Oryctolagus cuniculus: one gene and its partner. Each later gene encodes a partner of the first gene's protein in a complex. Links are inferred from orthologs where the notes say so. Each region holds a gene or a part of one and is shown on either strand. Other genes may lie near its edges. The genes, in order: XKR8 and BSG.

Region 1 (6,993 bases):
CAGCTGGGCTACCTGTACAGGTGAGCGCCCCGCCCTCGGGAAGGGGGAGGGGAAGTGGTACCTGCGGCTGCTGGGCCACCCGGACACGTGAGCGCCCCGCCCTCGGGGTGGGGGGGAACGACACTGCCCTTCCACCGGGCTGCCAGTAGCGGTGAGATTCCTGACACCGGGGAGGGGCGTGGGAGGAGACCCCCGCCCCTGTGGGCACTATGGCCTCAGGAGAGGTTAACCCTGGCAGACGCCCTCGGAGCTCAGCCAGCCCTGCCCTTCCTGGCGCAGGTGAAGAGAAAGGCAGGTGCATGGCTTTGGAGTCAGACTTCTCTGGAGCCAGTTCTGGCTTTGCCACCTGTGGCTTCATTTCTGGTTTACTCCTCTATAGAAAGCAGGGAGGGCAGAAGGAGGCCTAGTGGTTAAGAATTCTGCATCCCATATCGGAGAACCTGGGTTGGAGTCCCTGCTCGGCTTCCTGCTCCAGCGGCCTGCTAGCGCTCACCCCTGGAGGAAGCAGATGATGGCTTGGGTACTTGGCGAGCTGGACTGAGTTCCTAGCTCCTGGCTCCAGCCTGGCTCAGTCTGGGCTGTAGCAGGCATTTAGGGAGTGAACCACTGGATGAAAATAATTCTCTGTCTCTACTTCTCAAAACAAAACCCAGTGGAGGCAGTAACCTGCAGACATGTATTGTGGGCGGCGCTGTCGAGAGTGAGTGACCGGTGACAGGTACCTGCGTGAGAGTTCACCCAGTTCAGCACCAGCAGGACCTCTGGCAAGGCACCGACTGCCCCAGCTCTCAGTGTACCCAGGGTTCCAGTGGGGATGGCAGGAAGGCCTGCCCCTCTGGTGAGGATTAAATGCCACTTGTAAAGTGTCCTGGCGCAGAGGGAGCTGCCTGGTCACCTGGACCACGCCCGAGTCCCGGCAGCCTGACCGCCTGCAGCAGCGCACAGGGCGCCTCACTTGCCCAGCTGTGCCTCTGCCCTGAACCTGGGCTGCGCACCCCCAGACTTCGAGCCTGAGGGCAGAGGTGGCCTCTGACTCATCCATGGAGCCTGCTGGGCACAGCTGGCAGTGAGATGGGTGTGGCAGGGTCCTGCGGAGAGGGGAAAGTGAAAGTGTCACACAGCCATGCCCTGTGATGAGGTCAGGAGGGTGTGACAGCCCTGCCCTGTGATGGGGTCAGGAGGGCGTCACAGCCCTGCCCTGCGATGGGGTCAGGAGGGGTCGCCCGGGCGGGCTCAGCCCTTGGATCCATTTTCACATCCCCCGCCGCCCTGGATCTTGCGGGGCACAGCAGCACAGTTTGCAAGAGTGGCCGCGAGAGGAGCTTTGGATGTGGCAGTCGCCGGGGGCACTGTCCAGGCCTCAGTAGGACCTCGGGCGGGCACGAAGGGGCGCAGTGACGGGTATTACAGCCCCAGGCTGGCCTCGCCGAGCCCTCAACCCGTGACCTCCTCCTGCCTCTGCCCGTCTCCTGTTTTCTGCTGAGCCTGCGTCAGACCCTGGACTGCGTTTCGGCTTTAAAAGTGGGGTCAGTGTTCCTGCTTGTGCCTGGGGGGAACCAGTGTGCCAGGGGAAGTGACAGCGTCTTATGAATGAGCTTGCAGTGAGTGAATGGGCTCACCTCCCCGTCGCCTGCGGAGGCCGTTTCCGGCTGGGAGAGCCCTTGTGCCTCTTCCGCCCTCGCCCCGCCCCCGCCAGTGGCTTCCCCAGTCTGCGCAACCTCTGGACCCTCTGGACTGTGCCCCAACCCGCAGCCCCGCCTCTCCGGGCCAGGCCTCTCCCTGAGCTGTGCGGCAGCCGCAGCCTCCTAGCCCAGCGCTCCAGTCCTCCGCCATCCACGGGATCTCGCCCCGCCTTGCCTGTGCTCGGAAACTCCCTGGCTCAGCCGCTTGCCCCGAGGATCCCGAGAGATACTCAGACACACTGCAGTGTATAGCCTATGTAGGGCTCTGGGTCCAAGTCTGATTCCACTGCTTCTTAGATGCCGCTTTTTTTTCTTAAAGCTATTGTTATTAAAAATGTGCATTTATGGCCGGCGCTGCGGCTCAATAGGCTAATCCTCCGCCTTGTGGCGGGCGCCGGCACACCGGGTTCTAGTCCCGGTCGGGGCGCCGGATTCTGTCCCGGTTGCCCCTCTTCCAGGCCAGCTCTCTGCTGTGGCCAGGGAGTGCAGTGGAGGATGGCCCAAGTGCTTGGGCCCTGCACCCCATGGGAGACCAGGAGAAGCACCTGGCTCCTGCCTTCGGATCAGCGCGGTGCGCTGGCCACAGCGCGTCGCCCTCGGGCGGCCATTGGAGGGTGAACCAACAGCAAAGGAAGACCTTTCTCTCTGTCTCTCTCTCACTCACTGTCCACTCTGCCAGTAAATATATATATATATATATATATATATATATATATATAAATATATAATGTGTATTTATTTGAAAGACACTGGTTCACTCCCCAAGTGCCTGCAAGAGCTGCGGCTGGGCCAGGCTGAAGCCTGGAGACCTGGAGCCTCCATCCAGGCCTCCCCTGTGGGTAGCAGGAACCCAAGTACTTGAGCCATCCCTGCTGCCTCCCAGGGTGCAGTTGCAGGAAGCTGGATGGGAAGCGGAGTGGCCAGGACTCCCTGGGACGCGGGAGTCCCAGGAGGCAGCTTACCCACTGGGCCACAGCACTGCCCCAGCTGAGTAACTTCTAGATCCCCTTGCCTATCTGTGAAATGGGCTCCTCTGGGGGAGTCAGTAGGTCAAGGCTCGCAGGGATCTGAAGGCAGTGACTGTGCAGGCAGAGTCGAAGCTGCATTTATCCCCGTTCTCCAGAGGAAGGAACAGATTCAGAGAGGTTACGTGGCCTGCCCGAGGCCCCACAGCAGGGACGTGGGGAGCTGGGCTCTGAGGCACCCTGCACCCCAGGGTGCTGACCTGGCCCTCGGGCATCTGTGTGTGCCACCAGGTGCCTGCAGGGGCTGCAGCAGGGGCTGCGGGTGTGGCGGCAGGAGGCGCCCTCCGACTTCCACGAGGCCTACGCGGACTTCCTGTCCCTGGACATCAGCATGCTGCGGCTCTTCGAGACCTTCCTGGAGACGACACCGCAGCTCACGCTGCTGCTCGCCATCGTGCTGCAGAGCGGCGGGGCCGAGTGCTTCCAGTGTGAGTGCCCTGCACTGCCCCGCCCTGCCTTGACAAGGCGTCCCCCTCCCACGCCACTGACGGCTCACTCTTGTACTGAGGCAGCCGAGGGAGGCAGACCTGGCTTCAAATCTGGTCACTCTTGAGTGGTAGGACTTGGGATGGACGGCACGACTTCTCGGAGCGTCAGTTTGGTCTCAGCTGAAACATGGAAGCCAGACACACTCCTACCTTGTCGGGTGGATACAGGGCGTGGGGGAAGGGTGCACATGAAGCCCAGTGGCTGGCACTTAGCAAGTCTCGGTTGTCATCTGTGCTGTCTTTAAAAGATGTATATTTATTTATTTGGAAGGCAGAGTTAGAGATGGAGAGACAGAGCTTCTAACTGTTAGCTCACTCCCCAAATGGCCACAACGGCCACAGCTGGGCCAGACTGAAGCCAGGAGCCAGGAGCTTCATCTGGGTCTCCCACGTGGATCCAGGGACCAGAGGCCTTGGGCCATCTTCCGCTGCTTTCCCAGGTGCCTTAGCAGGGAGCTGGATCAGAAGTGGAGCAGCTGGGACTTGAACTGGCGCCTATATGGGATGCTGGTGCCGCAGGCAGAGGCTTAGCTCAGTACGCCACAGCGCCTCCGAGGTCTTTGCTGTCTTGAAGATTGCAGAGATCGGAGCGTGTGGAGAGCCTGACGCATCACAGACCGTGTGCTGCTCAGGCGGTTTCCTCCGCCCGGGTTAGAACAGGGCCTCCCTGCTGTGCCTGTCCCCGTGCCGCCCACATGGCAGTGACCAAGATGCACAGAGCCGCTGCCCCGCCAGGAAGGCCGGGCAGTTACAGTGCAGCACGCAGAGGGACAGGAAAGGTTTTGCCCGTGCAAGGGAAGGAACTGGCTCGTGGTTGCAGACCCAGCTGGTGGTCACGCTAGGCCGGGATGCTTGCTCACGTCTGGCGCGGGGTCCAGCCCCGCTTCAGCACCCGCCCACCTCCAGTCCTCCCGGCACCTCACAACGCCTGCCCCCACATGCCGCGGCCTCGTGTGGCACCCCGACCTGTCACGCCCCGTGTGACCGCAGGGTCTTCCTTGGGCCTCCATTTCCGCGGCTGTGCGAGACGGGGTTGGACTTAGCTTCCAGGGCCCTCTCACCTTGCAGGTGGGAGCCTGCACCATTCTCCGAAGAAGCCATAGCGGCTGAGCACGTGCCGCTGGCCGGGCTCTGTGGAACGGGCCCGTAGTCCCCACTGCTCGTGTTCACAGAAGCTATGGGTCGCTGCCGTCTTCCTCTCCATTTTCCAGAAGAGCAGAGGGAGGCAGAGCGCCTTGCCCCGGTCACTGAGCGCTCCCTGAGCCCGGCTTTGTGGGAGAGCAGAAGGTGCCAGCCCCAGGGCCCAGTGGAGACGGTCTGCGTGCAGGTGGGGTGGGGAGGCAGATTTTCCCCAATTTTTTCTTCTTTTTTTTTTTTTTTTAATTTTTAGTTCTTTTTTATCTTTTTCCCAATTTTTTTCTTAGCAAGCATTTATCATGTGCCACACACTGGACGGGAATCCCAGATGAGTGTTCAGGAGCCAGAAATGAAAGAATTCCTGGGTGATGAGCCTTCAGGCAGGAGTGGGTGGGGAGTTCCGGGGGCGCCTGACACAGCTGAATGGGAGGAGGGGGTCAGGCTGCGGCCAGCCCAGCAGCCTGGGCAAGGTCAGAGCTTGCAGCCCTGCTGGGGCCTGGGGCGGGGCTGGCTGCAGATCTGAGGCCAGACTGGGGGTTTCCAGCGAGCATCTGTTGGATGAATGCCAGGAGCCAGGGAGGGGGCAGAGCGGGAGGCCTCCTAGGGACCTCCTGTGCTTCCTGGAGATCCTGGTGCTGGGAGACCGGGAGGTGGGACAGGAGTTCCTGGACCTTGGACAGTGGAGACCAGGGCCTGGTCTGAGCAGGGAGGAGACGGGAGGGCAGCTGCAGCCTCCCATGGGGTTTCCTGCCTCCCTCTCCAGGAGGGAGAATTGGGGCACTGGAGTTGGTGATTTTCAGGCTCTTTCGGGACAGGGAGGGTTCTGGGGCCCTGGGAGAGGCTCTGGACGCATTGCACCAGTGCTGTGTGCTGGCGAACGGCTGCCAGCCACGCGCTCTCCTCGTGAGAGCACTGGAAAGCCAGTCAAGGGCAGGCTCCGTGTTTGAGTCCTGACCCTGGTGTCTATTGTGTGAGCTTAAAGTTCTCCTGCCACAGATCCCTGCTTCGGGGTCACTGGGAGGGCCCTGCAGTACCTGGGAGCCCACGGGGCTCACCGCTTTCTTCTTCCTCCTACAGGGGTCGGCATCTGCACGTCCTTCCTGGGCATCTCGTGGGCGCTGCTGGACTACCACCAGGCCTTGCGCACCTGCCTCCCCTCCAAGTCCCCTCTGGGCCTGCGCTCCTCCGCCGTCTACTTCCTGTGGAACCTGCTGCTGCTGGGGCCCCGGGTCCTGGCCGTGGCCCTGTTCTCGGCCCTCTTCCCCCGCTACGTGGCCCTGCACTTCCTGGGGCTGTGGCTGGTGCTGCTGCTCTGGGTGTGGCTTCAGGGCACAGACTTCATGCCAGACCCTGGCTCGGAGTGGCTGTACCGGGCCACGGTGGCCACCATCCTCTATTTCTCCTGGTTCAACGTGGCTGAGGGCCACACCCGAGGCCGGGCCACCATCCACCTGGCGTTCCTCCTGAGTGACAGTATTCTCCTGGTGGCCACCTGGGTGACTCACAGCCCCTGGCTGCCCGGCGGGATCCCGCTGCACATATGGCTGCCTGTGGGAGGCATCTGCTTCCTCTTGGGTCTGGTGTTGCGCCTTGTCTACTACTGCTGGCTGCACCCTCGCTGCAGCTGGGATCCTGACCGGGTGGACGGGGCCCATGGGGCCCGCAGCCTCCTCTCCTCTGAGCTGGGTCCGCTGCCCCAGAACAGGCGCATGACCCAGCTGGCTAAGAACTTTTTCCCCAAGGCTAAGGATGAGGCTGCTTTGCCGGGGAAGGGAGAAGTGAATGGGGTCCTTTGAGGCAGGGTGAGAGCCTGCCACGGCAGCCTGCCATGCATACAACGAAACGGGGCTCTGGGCCCCAGTTGTCTAGAGGGTGCCTTAGGGAGAGAAGACCACCTGTTCCTGTTCTCTTCCCCCAACCAGAGCAGCGGGGGCCCCAGAGCGCCCCACAGCTGGCACTCCCGTCTCCCAGCCACTCCTAAAATAACCAGTGGAGGTGCCGTCCCATCCTGGGGCCCCAGGACCCCCAGGGGATGCTCTCTAGAATTCTCCCTCTCCACACCTCCATTTGGTGCCTTCAACAGTTCTCTATTGAGAGCATTTTCTGGGTCAGGAACGTCATTCGATCCTTGAAACCCAGAACCACAGCGGCTGCCATCCTGGCCTCATCCCTTACCTGTTCCGACAAAGCCTGTAAGCCGGGAAAGCCTGGTGCTAGGTAGTCCCTGGCGGCCCCTCCAGAGGCTTGGTGCAGCTGGCCCAGCCCCTGTTCTGCTCGCAGGAGGCTGCCTTTCCACCAGTGCCATGGGGGGGACCTGTGGTCTGGCCGGGCACAGCCATTGAGTGTTTTTTTTTTTTTTTTCCTTTCGCCAGTGTACTGCCTACCTCAGAGTATGCACCTCCGTCCTGGCCCGTGACAGACACTAAGTGTTGTTTTACAGTATTATTAGGTTTTTAGTAAAGCTTCGTGGAATCCTCCAAGTCTGGTCATTAAGTGAGACTTTTTTTTTTTAAAGATTTATTTATTTGAAAGTCAGGGTTAAAGAGAGACGACTTCCATCTGCTGGTTCACTCCCCAGTTGACCGAGACGGCCGGAGCTGTGATCCAAAGCCAGGAGCCAGGAGCTTCTTCCAGGTCTCCCACGGGGGTGTGGCTTTACCC
Region 2 (8,673 bases), on another chromosome or scaffold:
TGGTCCCCGTGAGGGCGCAGGATCTGCTTCCTTGGACTGTGTTAGGAGCGGCTGGAGCAGCAGAGCTGGGACTCGCTGGGGTGGGGGCACAGGAGACAGCGTAAGCACTGGACCAAATGCTGCTCCAAGTAACATCTCTCTTTTCTGTAATGCTATGCATTTCGTATATTCGAAGGGCAGAGCGATAGAGGTGGAGGAGGGGGAGAGAGAGAGAGAGGCAGGTAGGTCTGCCACGCTCTGGTTCACTCCCCAGATGGCTACGACACCTGAGGCTGGGCCAGGTGGAGCCCAGGAGCCGGGACTCCATCCGGGCCTCCCACTTCGGGCCAGGGCCGCCTTCTGCTGCGTCCCCAGGCCGTCAGCAGGGAGCTGGATCGGACGTGGAGCAGCCGGCACTGGCACAGATGCGGGATGTGAGCCCACTTCCAGAGAGCCTGCCCTCACCTAGCTCTTTAAAACCTGAAATTGCCTCGCACCAGCGAAGTCAGGTGACCTGGGAGCAGCTCCAGGAAGCAGAGGGCCAGGGCTGCGGAGAGTGGACCTGGGGGCTGGCCGGGGCTGGCGGGGCTGGCGGGGTGGGCAGGGCCTCCAGGGAGGAGGCCAGAAAACTGGGTCTCAGACAAAGCAGCTGCTGCCCCGGTTCTGGGAACAAAGGCCAAGGCTTCCGGGCAGCCCTGGAGTGCTCAGGGGCTCTGGGAGGGCCAGCAGGGGGCAGGAATTCCGCCCTACCCGCCATTGTTTGTGCAGCCTCCTGGCCTCATGTCCTGCACGTAGCCACTGGCTCCCTGCAGGCCTCCAGGGGCGGCTGGGACACTCCAGGCCCCTGCTCGCTGCTGCCCCTGCCAGCGGCTCCTCTGGCCTCCGCCTTCTGTCCAAGGCCCTCTGCGCAGCCTTGGGCACCCCGGGCTCCATCCACCCCTGCCTGTGGCCTCTCCTGTGTCAGCCCAGGTGCCGTCCCCAGCACAGAGCCACACGGGAGCCCCTGCCCCGGTCACTCACATCCCCCAGTGTTCCCTGGAGACTCACTGGTGCCCACACTTTCCCCCAAAGAGCAGCCCCATCTCCAGGAGCAGTCAGTCGGCCCTGGCTAACCGCGAATCCCCCTCCCGTCCCTGTGAGGTCCCGTCATTGGAGCCCCTGTGTCTGTGTCTCCACGGCATGGCCGTGGCGTCCTCGGGCCCCTCGGTTACTGCAGGAAAGGCTGTGGAAGCCGTGGGTTCTCGTCTTCACGCAAGAAAGAATTCAGGCGTGAGACAGAGAGCGGAGTGCTGAGGCTTTACTGGGGACAGGGCACCCGTCAGAACACTGGGGACAGACAGCGCGCGCGCCCAGTCGCTGGGACCGGGGGAGAGTGAGGTTCCGTGGTTGAGTGAACACACCTGGGCAGCCCAGGCGGGCGGGCGGCTCAGCAGAGAGGCAGAGGGCTCCCGAGGTGCTTAAGGAAGTCTGTTTACCCACCTCCCCTCTCCTCCAGGACAAAGGACAAAGGAGAACCCTGGTGGAAGGGTTTGTTGGGTGAAAACTAGCAAATTCCTCACCAGATTTGCTGGGGCCAGGCAAGGCAGAGGGACTTCCCTTGGGGCGTCTGAGAAGGTTTTATTGCCCCGTGTTATCAGGTCAGGTAACCCCTGTGGTCCTGAGAGAGGAGTCTCCTGGGGGAAGGGCTGGGAGTCCGAGCAGGGTCCGAGCAGGGCTTCGAAGTGCAAGGTGCTGGTCTCCAGGCTGTCCCTACACACAGAGGCTGCCTAACACCGCCACACTGTCCCGGGCCAGAGCCTCCCGGTGCATGGTATGCATGGCCCTGTTCCTGTCGATGGCCTGTGACCCCAGGGTTAAGCAGTGGCTCTGCTCTTCCAGGCACCACTTCGTGTCCCCAGCGGCAGGGTGCAAAGGCCCAGCCCGCCCTGCCCCCCGCTGGTCAGACCTGCTGACTGGCTGAGGACGCCTGTTCAGAGCCTTCGTAGACTTCGCACAGGTTTTACTGATTTATTTGAAAGGCTGAGTGACACAGAGAAATCTTCCATCCGCTGCTTCACTCCCCAGATACCTGCCACAGCCTGGGCCAGGCGGGAGCCCAATCCCGGTCTCCCGCGTGCGAGGCAGGGCCCCCGGGGACCTGGGCTGTCACACAGGGCTGATGGCAGTGGCATGGAGTGAGGGGACGCCACAGCCCAGGTCGGCGTGCCTGGGGCACACCCCGCTTCCTGCTCACCCACCACGCGGCGCCCATGCCCGGATGGAGCTCCCGGGCCCCTGCTCTGGCCCATCCTCACTCCACCCCTGCCACTTTCAAATAAATAAAATACAACTGAAACAGCAGAAAGCGAGCGCTTTCCGGGTGTACCTGCTGGCGGGGATGGGGGAACCCGTTCTCTTAGCCGAGGAAGAATCCTGAAGGCAGAGGCGTGGCCGGCCAGGCAGCAGCAGAAGGGGCAGGCAGCCCAGGGGAGGAACGGGTGGACCCGCGCCCGCCACCCACCCAGGGAAGCCAATGCCGTGCGGCTACACAGGGACCGCAGCTCATCTGCACCCAGACTGCGGACTGTGCGGCGCTCCTCCCTCCTCAGCCACAGGTGAGGGGTGCAGGAGTGACGAAGGAGGCATCCGCCCCAGGTGAGGGGTCCAAGAGTGATGGAGGAGGCACCCGCCCCAGGGGAGGGGTGCAGGAGTGATGGAGGGGGCATCCGCCCCAGGGGAGGGGTGCAGGAGTGATGGAGGAGGCATCCGCCCCAGGGGAGGGGTGCAGGAGTGACAGAGGGGGCACCCGCCCCAGGGGAGGGGTGCAGGAGTGATGGAGGAGGCATCCGCCCCAGGGGAGGGGTGCAGGAGTGACAGAGGGGGCACCCGCCCCAGGGGAGGGGTGTAGGAGTGACAGAGGGGGCATCCGCCCCAGGGGAGGGGTGCAGGAGTGACGGAGGGGGCACCCGCCCCAGGTTCCCCGGCTCAGCGCTGTCCCGCGGGGAGCCCACGCAACCCCGGGCACAGGACGGCCTCCTGTCCAGTACTGGGCCTGGGCGGGATCCCGCGGGGTAAAACTCGGGGCGCTTCCCCGACTCCTGGCCCTCCCCAGGCCGCGCTCGCACGCATGCGCCGACGCCTAACTTCCACCCCGACTCCACGGCACCTGGGCGCGCGCGCGGCCTGCGGCCCTCGTCTGGGTCGTGGGGGGTCCCAGCGCCGTCCCCAGCAGGGGTGCGGCAGGAACGTGCGCGTCTGAGCGCGCACCCTAGCCCCCGAGCCCTGCCCGGGGTCCCCGCTACGCCGCGCCGCCCCCGGGGTCCCGTGGCCCGCCCGGAGTCACGTGGCCCGCCCCGGCCTCCGCAGCCTCCGCCCGCCTGTCCGGCGCCCGCGTACGTGCGTGTGTGCGCGTGCGCGGAGCGCCCGTAGCCCCCACCACCACCACCGTGCGCGCCCCGCCCCCGGGGCACCGCCCTGCGTGCGCGCGCCCGGCACGCGCGCCCGGCCGGTCTTATAGGGGCCGTAGCCGGCAGCGGGCACGGCGCTCGGTGGACGGCGGACGGCGGGGACATGGCGGCTGTGCTGTTCGCGCTGCTGGCGCTCGCGCTGCTGCGCGCCGGGGGCGCCTCTGCGGCAGGTGGGCGCCGCTCGGGGGCTGCGGGCGGGGGCTACGAGCCGGGGCGGGGGGGCTACGAGCCGCCGCCGCCCCGGGGGTCCCGGCCCGGGCCCTCGTCGGGAGGGCGGCCACCCTGCAGAGCAGGGCCCCGGGTCTCGGGGGCCGCCGTCCCCCTCCACGGTGCACGCGGCCGGGGCTGACCCCCGCGTGGGACGCCGCTCGTGGCCCTCGGCTGCAGTCCGCGGCCGCTGCCCGGGCAGGCTGGGCCCCGGGATTATCATTCCTGCGGGGATTTGGCCGGCGGCGCGCCCGCGTTTGCGGGGTCTGCGCGGGCGTGCGGGCCCCCTCCTCCTCTGCCTGTTGGGGGTGGGTCTCCAAGGTCACCGCGAGGTCGCCCAGGCCGCTGGGGGGAGCCCCGCGTGGAGCCCCAGGGCCCGGCCGGGAGCTCCCGGGCCGCTGCTGACCCACTTCGGCGGCTTCCTCTTCCCGGTCCCCGGCCTCGACCGAGCGCGGGGGGCGCGAGGGAGCCCCAGGCGGCGCCGGGTTTCCTGCGGGGCCCCCGCGGAGCGCGCTCTGGCCCTGCCGGGCTTAGTCGACCGTACCCCGGGGCCGGGGGCCGTGCGGGATCTCAGCCCTGCGCGGAGCGGCGGTGTGCGTGGGCGCACGGTGCGTGGTGGGGTGTTGCTTCCGACTTGGCTCCCGGGCGCCTTATATGGGTGTTCGGGTCTTGCCCGTGCACGCTTCTGCTCTCTGTGCGGGGCCTGGCCGCGCTGGGTTGGCCACCTCCTGTCCCCCCGGGTCGGGGCCTGGCCAGCTCTGTTCTCCAGGCGCACAGCCGCGGGCCCCCGCGGGGGTTAGCCCAGGAGGGCCGCACTCTGGCCCGCCCCGAGCAAACGCTTAACCTCTGGCCTCCGGGGGAGGCTTGGCTGAGGGTGGGGCGGCAGAGGCGAGGCCCCCAGCGGGTGGGGCCCTTCCCTCCCGAGCGGCCCCGCCTTAGGCTGGGCTTGTTTACCGAGGCCGCGCCTGGCCCCCTGCCCGCCTGGCCGCTCTCTAGTGAAGGTGACTTGAACCTGAGTTGCAGATCACGTGGGCCGAGTGGAGCTGTGGCTTTTCTGAGACTGACCCTGGGGCTGGATGTGGCGTGGACTGGGGCGGCCAGGGGCCTCACCCCAGGGAGCTGGGCCACCAGTGTCCCCCTGACGTCCAGCTGCTCTTGTCGGAGGCTGCGTCTGTCCCTTGGGGAGCGCCAGGTGGTGCAGACCTGTGGAGGGGCGGCCGGTTCCCCACCTTGGACACCGGGGCTGGGACAGCTGCGGCCAGGCTAGTACGGCCTCTCCCGGTACCTGCAGGCGGCCGGGGTGTTCGGGGGGCACCTCGGCTTCACTTCCTGCCTGACTCAGCTCTGCCAGGGCTGTGGGATTTGCAGCTAGGGGTCCTTCTGCTGGAGGCCACCTGGGCTGGTCCAGCGGCCTCCAGGCGGGCCAGGGAGGCAGGTGCCTCGTCCCCAGGGCACCTGGGGCCGGAGCGTCAGGACCCAGGGGAGGGTGGACGGGAGCCCCTGCCCGCCCCTGTCCGCCTAGGCAGTGTCCAGGACCCTCTGTTGTGTTCAAATAAGGAAGCCGATGATGGCCCGGGTGTCCGTGCCAAGAGGGCCCTGCGCCCCTCACTGTCCCCACAGCTGCCTTGTTCGCAGAGCCCAGCGCCCGTCCCGTGACCTTAGGGGCTCAGCCCTAGCTGGACATGCGTGTGCTCCCCCTGCCCTGCCTTCCGTGGGGGCAGCCCGCTCCTGTTCTGCCGTGGGGGCCTCACGCTCTCGCCCTCTCCCCGTAGCTGGCTTTGTGCGGCCCCCACTGTCGCAGGAGGGGCGGGCGGGGGGCAGCGTGGAGCTGCACTGTGAGGCCGTGGGCCGCCCGGTCCCCGAGATCCAGTGGTGGTTTGAAGGGGACGGCCCCGGCGACGGCAGCTCCCAGCTCTGGGACGGCGCCCGGCAGGGCCGCGTGCACATCCACGCTGCCTACCGCGAGCACGCGGCCAGCACCGTGTCCATCGCCCAGCTCAGCGCCGAGGACGCGGGCACCTACGAGTGCCGGGCCAGCAACGACCCCGACCGCAACCACCTGACCCGGCCGCCCAGGGTCAAGTGGGTCCGTGCCCAGGCCAGCCTGGCGGTCCTGGAACGTGAGTGGCAGAGACCTGCCTCAGTGTCCCTCTTGTGCCATCGGCTCCCACCCAGTAGAGCCCAGGCCCTCTCCTGCCCGGTTCTGTCCCTCCCACCCACCTGAGCAGTCTCTGGCCTGGATGCGGGTGGGCCCCTCGCCCCCGTCCTGTCCGCCCATGCGTCCATCGCTCCGACCCGCTCCATCCGTGCTCCCTCCCTCCGTGGGCGCCTGTCTGGCTCTTGTCCTGGTCGGTGGGGCTGGGTCTGCTCCCTGGGTCAGCCCAGGTTCAAGGCTCTCCGGACCTCCCATGGGAACGTGCTCAGCTGACCGTGAGGCCGCTGTGTCGAGCCTGGGGTAGAGCGGGGCGGGGCGGGAGGTGTGGGCGTGCTGCAGGGCTGCTCCTAGCCTAGCCTAGCCGGGAGCTGATGCCTGGGCCACACCCCCGTGCACAAGGGCCCTCCGGAGGGCACCCTCTGAGCCAGGCCTCGGCGTGGCGGAGGGCCGACCCCTCCTCTCCTGCCCCTTGCTGACCTCTCGCCGTGGTCTCCCAGCGGGCACCGTGACGACTTCTGTGCAGAGCGGGGATTCCTGGGTGCAGCTCACCTGTACCTTGAACACCAGCGCCGCGGGCGTCACTGGGCACCGCTGGCTGAAAGGGAAGGAAGTGGTGAAGGAGGACCAGCTGCAGGGCCTGCACACCGAGCACAAGTGAGTGCGGGGGCCGGGGCCGGGGCCGCCCAGGCGGACCCTCCTCCTCCCTCCCGGGGGCTGGGGCAGGGGGCAGGGGGCCGGGTCTCAGCCCGGACCCTCCTCCTCCCTCCCGGGGGCTGGGGCAGGGGGCCGGGTCTCAGCCCGGACCCTCCTCCTCCCTCCCGGGGGCTGGGGCAGGGGGCCGGGTCTCAGCCCGGACCCTCCTCCTCCCTCCCGGGGGCTGGGGCAGGGGGCCAGGTCTCAGCCCGGACCCTCCTCCGGGGGGCAGCCCGGGGTCCTGCACGAGCCCCTCCACGGGCCCAGGCTCACAGCCGCTTGTCTTGTCGCAGCGTGACCGGGGACGACAGGTTTGGCAAGTACTCCTGCCTCTTCCTCCCCAAGGACACGGGCGAGGCCACGCTGACCGTGGACGGTGAGCGGGGGTCATGCTGGGGGCCTCGGGTGGGGCTCCTGCCGCGCCTGGGGTGCGAGGCTCCCTCTGGCTCCCCCCAGGGCCCCCCAGAATTAAGGCTGTGAAGAAGTCGGAGCACGCCAACGAGGGCGACTCGGTCACCCTGCTGTGCAAGTCGGAGTCCTTCCCCTTCGTGACCGCCTGGGTCTGGTACAAGGTGGCCGACTCCGGGGACCAGGTGAGGGCGCGGGGCAGGCCAGGGGGCGGTGGGGGGCCCACGGGGCGCCCTGTGGGGCCGGCCTCAGCCTCCCCCTGCCTCCTGCCCCCAGGTCATCCAGAACGGCTCCCAGAGCAGGTTCTTCATCAGCCACTCGGAGGCCCAGTCGGAGCTGCACATCAAGGACCTGGACCTGACCTCCGACCCCGGCGAGTACGCCTGCAACGGCACCAGCCTGCAGGGCACGGACGCGGCGGTGGTCACCCTGCGCGTGCGCAGCCGCCTGGCCGCCCTCTGGCCCTTCCTGGGCATCGTGGCCGAGGTGCTGGTGCTGGTCACCGTCATCTTCATCTACGAGAAGCGGCGGAAGCCGGATGAGGTGCTGGACGGTGAGTGACCCCCAGGGGGCGCCACGCCCGCGGCTCAGGCCCAGCCGCCCCTCAACTGCTCTGCAGGGCCTGGGTGTGCCCAGGAGAGGGAGGGGGTGGGGACGGGGAAGGGGGGGCAGCACTGACCCCTGACCCTGCCCTTCTCTTCCACGTGGCTGTGGTGCTCAGACGAGGACGCCGGTGCCGCGCCACTGTGAGTCCCGCTGTGGGGGGGGCACGCTGCAGGCTCCCTGTCCTCAGAGCTCAGCTGGGCCCTGTGGGAGTTGGGGGGGGGGGGCTTTGGCCACTCAGGGGGCCAGGCTGCAGGCCCTGTGGGGGTTGGGGGGGGCTTTGGCCACATGGGGGGCCAGGCTGCAGGCTCCCTGTCGTCAGAGCTCAGCTGGGCCCTGTGGGAGTTGGGGGGGGGCTTTGGCCACTCAGGGGGCCCAGGCTGCAGGCCCTGTGGGAGTTGGGGGGGGGGCTTTGGCCACTCAGGGGGCCCAGGCTGCAGGCCCTGTGGGGGTTGGGGGGGGCTTTGGCCACATGGGGGACCAGGCTGCAGGCTCCCTGTCGTCAGAGCTCAGCTGGGCCCTGTGTCTCCAGGAAAAGCAGCGGGCACCACGTGAATGACGACAAGGGCAAGAATGTCCGACAGAGGAACGCCAGCTGAGCCGGCCGCTCCGGGTTGGGGTGCAGCTGCGAGGAGCTGAGCCCTGCCCACCAAGGCTCCGCCCAGGGCTGGAGGCCACACCCCTACACCTGCCTGCTCCAAGGCTCCGCCCAGGGCTGAAGGCCACACCCTTACACCTGCCCTCCAGGCCCCTTGTGGGGGGGGGGACCCTGCCCTTTGAGGAAGGTCACAGGAGGCCCGGCCTCCAGCCTGTCTGGCCACGCCCTGCGCTTCCATTTTTATTCCTGGCTTCTGAGGGCACAGGACAGCTGTGGGGCCTCAGCTGCCCGCAGGGTGGCAGCCTCGTCCCCCAATAAAGACTGACCCCACCCGTGCACTGTGGCTTTGTCTGCCCCCAGCTGCCCCAGGCTGTGGGGGTTGGGGATCCCAGGCTGGGGCGGGTAGGAGGACTGTGTTGGGCCCTCTGGTCCCTGGAGGGAGGGACAGTGACCACCCTTGGAGCCCAGGCCCCCCACTCCTGCTGGGGATGGTGGGGGACTTCCTGCCAGGCTCAGACCCCTCCCCCACTCCCACACATGGGAGGAACTTCCTGCCAAGCACAGACGCCCCCCACACACGGGGT

The links.
Region 2: the proteins of XKR8 (region 1) and BSG are in contact, whole or in part, in a cryo-EM structure (PDB 7DCE), measured with the Homo sapiens proteins. The link is inferred for Oryctolagus cuniculus from reciprocal best matches to the Homo sapiens genes XKR8 and BSG. Residues at the interface, in NP_060523.2 of Homo sapiens: His232, Leu236, Val239, Leu242, Trp243, Leu246, Gln247, Arg280, Gly283, Arg284, Ile287, Phe291, Ser294, Asp295, Leu298, Ala301, Thr302; in NP_001719.2 of Homo sapiens: Trp326, Pro327, Gly330, Ile331, Glu334, Val335, Leu338, Val339, Ile341, Ile342, Phe343, Tyr345, Glu346, Lys350.

Annotation. Positions count from the first base shown.
Region 1 is NC_091438.1:143,675,573-143,682,565, reverse strand, and holds the end of XKR8 (XK-related protein 8), read left to right. Parts: coding exon 1-20; intron 21-2,938; coding exon 2,939-3,135; intron 3,136-5,409; coding exon 5,410-6,128; 3' UTR 6,129-6,812; downstream 6,813-6,993.
Region 2 is NC_091447.1:58,338,511-58,347,183, forward strand, and holds BSG (basigin precursor), read left to right. Parts: upstream 1-3,515; 5' UTR 3,516-3,528; coding exon 3,529-3,595; intron 3,596-5,404; coding exon of another isoform or gene 5,405-5,752; intron 5,753-6,284; coding exon 6,285-6,441; intron 6,442-6,773; coding exon 6,774-6,856; intron 6,857-6,936; coding exon 6,937-7,073; intron 7,074-7,164; coding exon 7,165-7,441; intron 7,442-7,609; coding exon 7,610-7,634; intron 7,635-8,023; coding exon 8,024-8,090; 3' UTR 8,091-8,424; downstream 8,425-8,673.